Linked DNA regions of Rattus norvegicus. The protein of the gene in region 3 interacts with the protein of the main gene of each other region in a pairwise test. Links are inferred from orthologs where the notes say so. Each region holds a gene or a part of one and is shown on either strand. Other genes may lie near its edges.

Region 1 (3,751 bases), on a different chromosome or scaffold from region 3:
GCCTAAGGGGCCTCCTCAACGTCAGCAGGCACCAGGGGGACCTCCACGAGCAGCACCAGGCACAAGTGAGTGCGCCTGTTTGTGTTTAAAGGGTGAAGGCAGTAAAACGGCCTGCAGCCCTGCTGAGGGGATTAAATTACTCCATTACCACCTGTGCGTGCTGCTCTCTAAGGCTCCCTTGCAGTGTTCACAAAGGTGTCACAGATCTAAAAACTCCACACCCTCGACTGTTTATGATCACAAAACAGCATCAGGATACAGAATGTCCTCTGTTTTTCTTCTATGGAAAATGCTGCCTGCCATGAGGCCAAGCTCTGAACCTGACAGAAGGCTGTTAATCTTGCTAACAGCTCCTGGAGAAGTGGCCCATACCCAATGGTGCAGATATACACGCGTCTGTAACAGTAGGCAGAGACTACGCTCTTCACACCAACACCATTTACCGCCCCAAAGGTACTGACTTGGAAACGAGGTGTCTCCTCGGTGTTGCACGGTTTTACATTTAAAGCTTACCGGGAACACCGAGGTGTCTTCTTCCCCACGGCTGGAGTAGGTGCTGGGGGTGGAGCTGGGAATAAGCTCTGCGGGGCCGGATGGCTCCCTCAGGTGTTGCAAGTAGTCGTAGTCATCATCGAAGAACACGCCGTACTTCCTCTGCTCTGCTCGCCTTTCCTCATCATTTACCTTGGACAACAAGATGGCATCAGTTGTCCTGCCACGAGTCAGGATCCGTGTAACTTTCAGGAGGTAGACAGCACGTGAATACTGGCCGACAGGAATCACTAATTCTTGATAAATACCCAAACTACGGAGAGTCCAAACCAGAGCGCTACATAAAATTATAATGAAATGACAACAAGCCAGGCTGAGGCAGACCATCAGAACCCACAGTTATAAGACAGGCCTGAAAAATGCAGACGACCTTGTTTCAAAGACCAAGTGAAACAGGAGCACATCCACATGACAAGAACGAGAACAGCTCTCTCAACCAGGCAGTTCTGCATGACAACTCCAGGTGAGAAATATAAGTAGCACACACTCAAAAAATGTCACTGGAGGATTATGAGAAACAATCTGGAGACTTTGACAGTAAGCATAGTTTCTTGTACTTAGACCCAAAGAAAGCTTTTCAGTGGTGTAAGGGGTGGCTTTAAGGAAAAGCTAAGTGCAGGCCAATGCCCCCCCCCCCCCAATCCTTAAAACACGTCTTACATTTTTAAATGAGTGTTTGGACTACATGTGTGGCTAGGACAGACTGGAGTATGAGATCCCCCTCCAGCAGATGTTACAGATGGTTGTGACTGTACAGACGGGTGCTGGGAACTGAACCTGGGTCCTCTGCAAGAGCAGCAAGTGCTTAAAACACTGACCCATCTTTCTAGCGTCCCCCAAGACCTTTATATGAGCCATCTTCAACAAGCGTAACGCTAGCATAAACCAGCTTCTTCAAGGCCCCTTTGGGACGTCCGAAGCTAATTCATGGGCTCAAATGCTTTGTGTTTCGTGAGATGAGTGACTCGGGGCAGGAATACAAATGGAAGACTACTGTAACACAGCAGAACCCCAAGAGAAAGCAAGAGATGGAGCACACCACCACAGACAGCCTAGATGCTCTATCCTGTCAATCAAGACAAATACACAACATCAAACATCAGCGCAAAGATTGGAAACCAAGTCACGGCTCAGTTTTTTTTTTTTTAAGAGGACCAACTTCTGAGAGTATCAACTCATTATTAAACTCTGGGGGCATATAGTTCAGGGGTAAAGTGCTTGCCTGACATGCCTAAGTCCCCTGGGTTCCACTTTTCAGGACTACAAAACTACTATTCACCTAAAAACTTAGTGGCCACAGGACAGGACCTACCTTTTGTGTAGGCACCAGAACTCTCTGCGGTGCGGTTTCATCTGCTGCCAAGGGGTCTCTCTGGCTCCGGTGGACCAGGTGAAAAGACACAGCTTTCTTCTTCTCTATAAAGGGCTTTTTCTTTCTGTGAGGCTACAAAATAATCAGGAAGGGCCGCTAAAGTGGGCAATTCTACTGCCAGAGGAATATTTAGTAAGCATGTGAAGGGTGAACAGATATGTCGAATTTGCACATCTAAGCCAGACAGCAGTCCCTGCCTCCTGAAGGATCCATATTTACCTTCTCCACCAAACACTGGCTAGGTACCCTACCTACTCTGAGACACTTGTTCAAAGGTGTTGGGAATATGGCAGTGGGACAGTCTAAGAGGCTCTCCGTTCTTAACAAGCAAATGAGTAAGGACAAATGACCTTAGTGAAGGAAAGTCAAACAGGGTTAAGTTCAAATGCCTAAAGTCTTTTGTAGTGGGTGCTCTGAGGTCCCCGAAAAGTTGGCCGACACTTCATCTAACAGACAAGCAAGGTTTAGACTATTTACTCCACATTCTTAGGTGTTCTTCAACTCTGGGTCTGGAAACCGAGATGCTAACCAGGTGGCTGAAGTGGACCCCGGAAGCAGGGGGCGGGGCTTGTATCACAGGGACGGAGTTAACCTAAGCCGTCAGGACCGTAAACGCCCGGGATTTTGCAAAAGGGAAACCATCTTTCTCCTTCCGAAGTGCACCCGGGGTGACGAAGATGACTGGTGCCGGGATAGTGACTGGTTTCGGGGCACCAAGCCGCGCGGCCAGTGGCCTAAGCCAGCCGCAGGGAGCGGCGAACAGACATAACCGGAACCCGCCGGCTCCCTCCCGGAGCACCGCGGTTTTCTCACCATGATGAGGCAGGGACTCCCTTTCCGGAACCGCGAAAGCCGAACCGCGACTCGCCGGTATCTCCCGGCAGCTCTACACGTGGGTAGACAGGTCTAGGACAGCACGTCACACGATGGCATGGCAAAGAGCCAATCGCCGAGGAGCCGCTAGACTGCAGCCGGAAGTTGCGTGAGCCCGCGGTGAAGGAACGTTCCCGGGAACTTCCGGGAGGTGGGGCTAGCAGGACTCTCTCTCTCAGTGGGCGGGGCTTTTCTGGCTGGAGTCGGTGCAGGTTGGGAGTAGCCTACCTAACTGGAGTTCTACCTGAAGGCAAATGTCCCGTCCCTACACCGGGCTGATGAATGTAACGTTATCACTGAAGATATTCCACACCTATTCTTAACTGAGAACAAACAAGACAAAAACAAATAAAAACAAGACCAAGCCTGTGCAGGTTCATGGAAGGAAAGTAGTCACTTCCCTGACTTCTTGACCTAAGGGAAATCAGTTGCTTATGTTCAACCAAGGCGGAACTCTAATAGGCAGAGCCTAACATCTCCAGAGTCTTCATTTTACATCTTTTGATCAACAATTCCCAGCAGTATCTTATCACAGACCCTACGACTCTTGGTTTTAGGGGCATTTGACGTAATGTATTCTGAATCTCTGATGACTGCTTATTTTTTAAGATGAAAACCAATAAACTGAAGGTGGTTTTTTTGTTGTTGTTGTTTGTTTTATGTAGCCCAGCCTCTTGTCCAACTTGAACTGCACTTCACTAGTGACGGGCATGTTCTATTTATATGATGCTGAAGATCGAACCCAGCCAGAGCTTCCTGCATGCTGGGTGAACGCCCCACCAAGTGTTCTATGAGCACATCTCCATCCCCCATGTTTTTGCTCACGTATTTTGCGGTACCTTAAGCAAATCAGATTTTAAGTGTAATTGCTTAGGAAGGGTTCCATCAGATCTCGGAGAAAAGAGTGATGAAATAATTCAACATTCTGTCAGTAGATGTTTGCTTTCTCCTCCC
Region 2 (3,428 bases), on a different chromosome or scaffold from region 3:
CTGTCCATCTGTCAGCCTCTGTCCATCTGTCTGTCTCTGTCATCTGTCTCTTATCTGTCTCTGTTTATTGGTCCCACTTTCTATCTGTCTCTGTTCATCTCTCTGTCTGTCCACCTGCCCATCAGTCCATCTATCTGTACTTCTGTCTGCCCTGTCCTGTCTCTGTTCATCTGCCTTTTCTTCTGTCTGTCCATCTATAATTCTGTCTGTCTATCTCTGTCTGTCTGTCTATCTGTCTCAGTCCATCCACCTGTTCATAGTCCATCTATATGTCCATTTGTCCTGTCTTTCTGTCTGTCTTTGTCCGTCTGACCATCTGTCTGTCCAACTGTCTTGTCTATTTTCATCTGTCTGTCTCTGTCTTTCTGTCTTTGTCCATCTTTCTACCTATCTCTCTGTCTCTGTCCATCTGTCCATCGGTCCATCTGTCCATCCCGTCTTCCTGTATGGCTCTGTTCAATTGTTTGTCCCCCTATGTTTCCATCCATCTGTCTCTTCACCATGTGTCTGTTCATCCATCTTTCTGTCTGTAGGCATGTCTGTCCATTTGCCTGCCTATCTGTCTGTCTCTGTCTGTTCATCTGTTTCAGTCCTTCATCCATTTGTTTGTCTGTCTGTAAATGTCAGAAAAGGATGTTGGATCCCCTAGAGCTAGAGTTCCATGTGGTTGTGAGCCACCTAATATAGGTGCTGGGGACCAGAATCAGAACCTCTGAAAAATAGTGTGTACTCTAAGTAAGCCATTTCTCCAACCCTCTCAAAGATATTTTTACAACTTTAAAGTACAGTAGAAAATATAATCAGAAACACAGTTATGAATTACACAATTTCTGGTGAGAGGGAGTGTCAATTAAACTTGTGGCACTTTGAATCATCCTATGTTTCAATTTTGATTTTTGTACTTACTGTTAGTGTGAAATTAATTAGTAACGATGAAATAATCATTACTGAGCATTACATACCAGCAATTGTGATAGGAATTTAAGATGAAATTTTCTTTTACTCTTTAACTTGGGGATATAGAGACTATAACTGTTCAGATAAGACACTGAGATTGAATGATGATAAAGGACTTAACTTCATATGTGGAAATCATTCTCCCTGCTTGCCTTTGCCAAAGTACGTTCAAAGCCATGGACAAATGGAAAATATGATAGCAACTGCAAAATTTAAAGTCTGTTGAAAGGATAAGCCTATACAAAGTCATGATGTCCAGTGTGGTAGCCATGCTCCCTATACAAAGCCATTTAAATAAACTTATTTCAATTTCAAATTCATTACAACTAGATATGGGGGCTTAAGTCCTACCACTCAGAAAGCTGAAAAGAGAAAGGTTGCAAGAGTTTGAGGCCTGTCTGGGCCACAATGTGAAACTATGTTTAAAATAAAGAGATGACAGATAGATAGATAGATAGATAGATAGATAGATAGATAGATAGAGAGGTGCTTTCATACTTACACTATGTCTATACCCTGACAATCTCAAAGATGACTGAAAATGTCATAATTGAAAAATAAATATATTTCTGACATTTATCCTCCTGAATGTCATAGCTCAACTTGGCCTGCAATGAATATTCTCAGATTATTTACATTAATTAGCCTTAAGTAAGGATAACTCCTTTATCACAAATTCTTACATCTTGATTATTTTATATCTTTTATTGTCTTCAGTACATTGTAGTGTATGGTATCAGATGTTTCCTCTTATTGTGCTTAATGTCATATAAAAGTACAGCATCGGGATTGGGGGTTTAGCTCAGTGGTAGAGCACTTGCCTAGGAAGTGCAAGGCCCTGGGTTCGGTCCCCAGCTCCGAAAAAAAGAACCAAAAAAAAAAAAAAGTACAGCATCATGTATCACAAGCTCAGGAGACAATCAAAACCCAAAGGATGATTTTGTAGATAGTACATTGCTTTAATAAGGTTTCTTTATAAAATCTTAAGCCAAGGCATTCTAAATTATGGATTGTCTGTAAATTTAAAGTTGATTTCACAGGCTCCCCAGTCACAGTTCCAAGGCCCAATAGCCATATGTGCTTCAGACAACTGTACTGAACAGAAAAAAAAAAAAAGAAAAAAACACTTCAATTATTATAGAAAGATCTAAGCTAATCAGTACTGGTCCAGAAAATTTTACTGCACAGACATTTACAAAAGATAAACAGCAGTAAGAGGGAAAGTCAAATTTCTCTGGTAACATAAAACAGGAAGGTAGGCCAATACACTGGTCACCTTCCACCTCTATGTGTTTGGGAAGGACAAAGATATATATTTAGATTTAAATACTCACTTAAAGAGAGTGTGATCATGAGTAACAAATGATCACATTTTTAAAAAAATCAAAAAACCCTGTAGACCTCAGAGCAAATTTTACTTACATGCAATGTGGGTTTTTTGTTTGTTTGTTTGTTTGTTTTTGTTTTCCTTTTTTTTTTTTTTGTCCCTGCAGGTATGCCATTGGCCTTGCGTACAAATCAGCTCCAAAACATGAATGGATTGGGAAGAATTCTGCTTCCTGGGCCCTTTGCCGCTGCAACAATAACTGGGTGGTGAGACATAACAGCAAGGAAATACCCATTGAACCAGCCCCCCACCCCCGGCGTGTAGGCATCCTGCTGGACTATGATAATGGCTCAATCGCTTTTTATGATGCTTTGAACTCCATCCACCTCTATACCTTCGATGTGGCGCTTGCGCAGCCTGTGTGCCCCACCTTTACTGTGTGGAACAAGTGTTTGACGATTATAACTGGTCTTCCCATCCCAGACCATTTGGACTGTACAGAACAGCTACCTTGAGCATCTGGCCCCAGAGCAGCCCCAAGGAATTACAGAGGTTGAGGATGTTGTTTATGGGATTGAGAAACTAAGGCTTCAAGAGTGTGATGAAATATTCCCCAACTTGTCCAGAAACCAGCTCAGATAGGGCTCCACATGGAAGATTTCCCTCCTTTTCCTGTGTTTCGTATTAAGTACAGGCTTTAATAATTTCTTTACTTTTTTGTATTTAGAGGAAAATCTATAGATTATTTATAAAAGAAGCATAATCTGGATTACAGCTGTTAGGAATCACTTGGTTTTGTCCAATAAGAGGCCCGTAAGTTTACCAGTCCTTTACCAGTTTCATTTCATCAGTCTATGAGCCTGTAAAAAATTTTTTGTAGATTTGTGTGGTTTTTTTTCACTTTCTTACATTCTACTCCATACTGAGGCCATGCTAGGTACTGTCACTTAGAACAACTGAATATATGGCTAAAATAAAAGTAATTTTGATCCTTGTAAGGAAGTACAGGTTCCTTTACTCTTTTAGTCAAGATATTTTAACTGTGATATCAGATCACTTGTACTGGATCAAATAGAATGAGAAAAAATCGAGAAGGAAAGAATTAACTTTGGACCTCAAGCTTACCCAGACTGATGGGATGATT
Region 3 (3,751 bases):
GTTCTGAAAAGCTGAGGACCAATTCTCAAGAGTTTTCCTCTGTTCTCTACACACATCATGACACGCACACAAAATACATGTTAAATAAAAGAAGACAAGTGCTATGAGATAAGTAGGGGAATAAAAGAGGTTAGGAGACAGATGCTGACACTTGTGGGGTGTTTTGTTGTTGCTGTTGTTAGTTTTTTATATATGAGTGAACCCTTGCATCATAGAGGCCAGAGGGGAATCTTGACTATTATTTCTCGGGAGCTGATGACCTTGTTTTTGAACCAGGGTCTGGCTGGGACCTGGGGTTAGCTGATTAGGCTACACTGGTTGCCCAGTGGGTCCAAGAGATCTGTCTTCAACACTGTGGGACTACAAGCTGTTGTAGGTGGAAGTCAAGAGTCTCAAGTCATGTTCCTTACCAGCTGAATTATCTTATCCCCTCCTTACTTTGTGATTAGACCTGAAACAGAGGCAGATTAGATAGGATTCTGTTGATCTCTAGCTGTTGAATGGACCACAGAGGTTACAGAATACAAATTATGATGCTCTCCCAGTGATTCAGGGGAGACTGTGGTAGCTAAAACAGGAGGCGTTCCAAGTTAATGGAAAGTGGTCTGGCTCTGGATATATTCTAAAGACACAACCATCAGGATTTACTGTGAAGTGAGAAAGAGAACACTGGATTGTGCCTTGAGCAGTGGAAGGCTAACATGCTAACAAACTCTGTGTAGCCAACAGAGAGCAGGTTTGGGAAGGAAGTCAGAACTTCTGTGTGGACACATTCAACTATCGACAGCTACCAGTCTTCAACTTGGAGCTGTCAGGAAGACCACTGGAAATAAAGATGTGAGCCTCTTGGACGAACTACGTACGTGGGAGAAAAATCTGGAAGCAGCCATCAAACAGATGGCTTCAGAGTGAAATTTGCTGACAGCATCACGGAAGGATCTATAAGCTCAAGGCCTGCCTTGGTCACGGCAAGTTCAAGTCCAGCTTGAACAACTGAAGGAGACCCAGTCTCAGTTACAAAATGTTTTTAAGGGCAGGCGTGGTGCCAACCACCTATAATGCCACATGGAAAACAGAGGCAAGATCAGGAGTTTAAGGTCATCCTCCCCTACAGAGTTTGAGGCCAGCCTGGGCTCCTTGAGCCCTTACTTCAGAAAAGCTGCTGTAGCCCTAAAGCCACATTCAAACACTGCTTTTAGGACAGATGGGAATGGAAGATTAAGCAACTGGAGGTCAACGACAGTTCCTCCCCAGTGAGACAGATTACCAAGCATCTACCCACCCATCCCACCCCACTTTTAGCTTCTGAACAATACTCGTTCCCCTCCCTCATCACTGGAACACTTCCCACTTGCTTTTCAGATCTTACTAGAAGGACGTGAAACCTGGGATACCCACCATACAGAATTAATGTCCATCTGTTTTTGTTTAAACAGAAATATCTTTCCCCCTCTCTTGAGAGATAGGGTTCTATCATGTAATGTAGTCGAGGTTAATCTGGAATTTACTATGTACTCAAGGAGGCCTTCTGCCTTGCTTCTGGAGTGCTGGCATTACAGGTGAGCATCGCCACTCCTGCCTGGAATATATTACTCTAATTATCTATTTAATGTGTGCCTTGAGCTACACTTCCGGTGCCATCAGGAGTGATGAAGATCTTATTTCTGGATCAGAACTGCCTAAAAACTTAACACAGCTCAAAGCACTATGCAGGCAGCCCACAGATACTTCAAACGCACAGAGAATAAATAAATGCTAGAACTGGTGTGAGAGATCACATTCTGTTGGCTTAAGTCTGGATCCCGAAACCCAGGAGTGGAAGTGAAGGACCACGCGGGAAAGTTAAGCCGCCTACTCTTTTTAATTCTAACCCAGTATTCCGATGGAGAGTATCAGACCGGCCCAACTCACCACTCCACCCCTTGTCACTCACCCAGCCGCGTGGCGCGCTCTCGCGGTTTTGCCGGCCGATCTCCAGTCGCGTGTTCAGTCTCGAGCTCCTCCTGCTGCTGCCGGGCTTGTTGCAAAATCCGTCTGCTCAACCGGGGTCCCACATACTCTTCCTCCTCTTCGACCCCGTGTCTCCGCCGTTTTTCTCGGGTCCCCGCACGCACTGCGTCCCCAGCCAGAATCTGCTCCGCCAGAGGTGCATGTCTCTCTTGATTTCTGGCCCCACGTGTCACCTTTAATTTGGGCATTTTTGTCGAAAAACTTGCCCACAAAGTTTACACGTGTGAAGCCGGCTAAGAGACGAGACTGCGCTTGCGCCTTGTATTCCGGTCTCCAAGAGGTCACTGAGGCATCACAGTGCCCCCCAGCGTTCGGAGGCCGGAAGTTCCTCATATATCGCCATCTCTAGAAGAGCTTCGGGGCTTGGAGCAGGAGTCTCCAAATTCTCAGATAATCTCACTGAAAGAGGTGGATGTTCGAGTCACCTTTTCCAGAATTCATGAAAGTAGCCTAGGGCGTGTTGTCAACCCCTTGTATGTTTTGGGGGCGGAGCCGGGTCGATGACGTACTAGAAATGTCACCGCTGGTGTATCCAGAGATGCCTCTCCCTGTGGGCGTGTCGTCCTGGCGCTCAGTATTTACGCATTTCCGGAGGCCGGTCAACGACCGCTTCCTGTGTTTAGGGGGCTGCCTCTCGTGGGAAGGTCTGGATTCTCTGAGTTTGAGTATTTGGCAGTACCACCTTTTGACCCTTCGCCATGGGAGTGACGTGGTAGGACTTGAAGGGCTTCTGCGGGGGGGGGGCTGTGGGGTCGTGAAGGTGTCTGTGAGCCTGTAATGGCCCGGGGAGGGGGATTTTGACCGAGGTTCTCGGTTCCTCGAGGGCTGACCAAGATGTCCTGGGGTTGTGTGGATCAGGGGACACCCGAGTGCGGGTTCTCCCTTCCCAGGCATAACAATTTGGCAAAGCAAGCACTTCATCCCAAGAACCCGCCAAGAGTTGTTGGACCTTCTTTTTCTCGGTACCTCTTTCTGTCCTTGAGGCCTTGTCCCGTCGCAACTAGAATCCAGCGGTTAGAAATAAGGTTTCTAGACTAGGAGATATTCGGAGGAAGGGATAAAAAGGGGCGCGAGGAGAAAGTGACTTGTGTATTCTGCTTGCAGTTATAGCACCTGACTTTGAACTGGCCACTTTAAGATATTGGGGCTAGTGACAAAGGTAGGGGAAAGGAGCTGTTGGGAGTTTGGAGATCGGGGTACCAGGCATATTAACTATTCATGAACCACTCCCTAACGTATTTGAGACAGTTTTTTGAGCAGGGTTTTCTTTGTGAGTAGCTTTGGGAGGCCTGTAGATCAGGCTGGACTCAAACTCACCGAGATCTGCCCACCTCTGCCTCTTGAGTGCTTTGGTGATGGCATTTGCCACCAGCACTTGGGCTTGAGACAGTTTTGATCGACTTTTATCTTAAACATGTCTTAAGTCTCACTTGAAAAAAAAAAAGAGGCAGTCGGTAAGGTTTGGGCACCGTGCTTTTGTGGGTATTAATTTCAAAGTACTAGACCTCAGCACTTAAAATCTTGGTACTGGTGCGCTTCTTTCCGATTAAAGAAGCTTGGGGGCCATTGTACAGGAAGTCAGGGGCCACAGGTCTGCTCTGGAAAGGAGAGCTCTTGTAGGCTCCTTAGTAACTGCGCTTGCCAAAGTTGACACCAGGAGCCTCATCTCTGCCACAGTGAAAATAGATCACAGCAGAGTCATTTGAGATCCCCCAATGCCACCTTTCTGGGCTGTGTATGT

The links.
Region 1: the proteins of Bysl (region 3) and Ltv1 interact in binary tests that used the Homo sapiens proteins (3 or more experiments, as listed by UniProt). The two-hybrid records come from large-scale screens. The link is inferred for Rattus norvegicus from reciprocal best matches to the Homo sapiens genes BYSL and LTV1.
Region 2: the proteins of Bysl (region 3) and Mid1 interact in binary tests that used the Homo sapiens proteins (3 or more experiments, as listed by UniProt). The two-hybrid records come from large-scale screens. The link is inferred for Rattus norvegicus from reciprocal best matches to the Homo sapiens genes BYSL and MID1.

What each region holds. Positions count from the first base shown.
Region 1 is NC_086019.1:9,395,800-9,399,550, forward strand, and holds the start of Ltv1 (protein LTV1 homolog), read right to left. Parts: upstream 2,759-3,751; 5' UTR 2,741-2,758; coding exon 2,738-2,740; intron 1,997-2,737; coding exon 1,865-1,996; intron 685-1,864; coding exon 514-684; intron 1-513. UniProt on the Homo sapiens protein: Essential for ribosome biogenesis.
Region 2 is NC_086039.1:27,681,264-27,684,691, reverse strand, and holds the end of Mid1 (E3 ubiquitin-protein ligase Midline-1), read left to right. Parts: intron 1-2,450; coding exon 2,451-2,799; 3' UTR 2,800-2,825; downstream 2,826-3,428. UniProt on the Homo sapiens protein: Has E3 ubiquitin ligase activity towards IGBP1, promoting its monoubiquitination, which results in deprotection of the catalytic subunit of protein phosphatase PP2A, and its subsequent degradation by polyubiquitination.
Region 3 is NC_086027.1:20,878,856-20,882,606, reverse strand, and holds the start of Bysl (bystin), read right to left. Parts: upstream 2,267-3,751; 5' UTR 2,199-2,266; coding exon 1,934-2,198; intron 1-1,933. Other genes in the region: Med20 (mediator of RNA polymerase II transcription subunit 20), read left to right, coding at 2,709-2,722. UniProt on the Homo sapiens protein: Required for processing of 20S pre-rRNA precursor and biogenesis of 40S ribosomal subunits. May be required for trophinin-dependent regulation of cell adhesion during implantation of human embryos.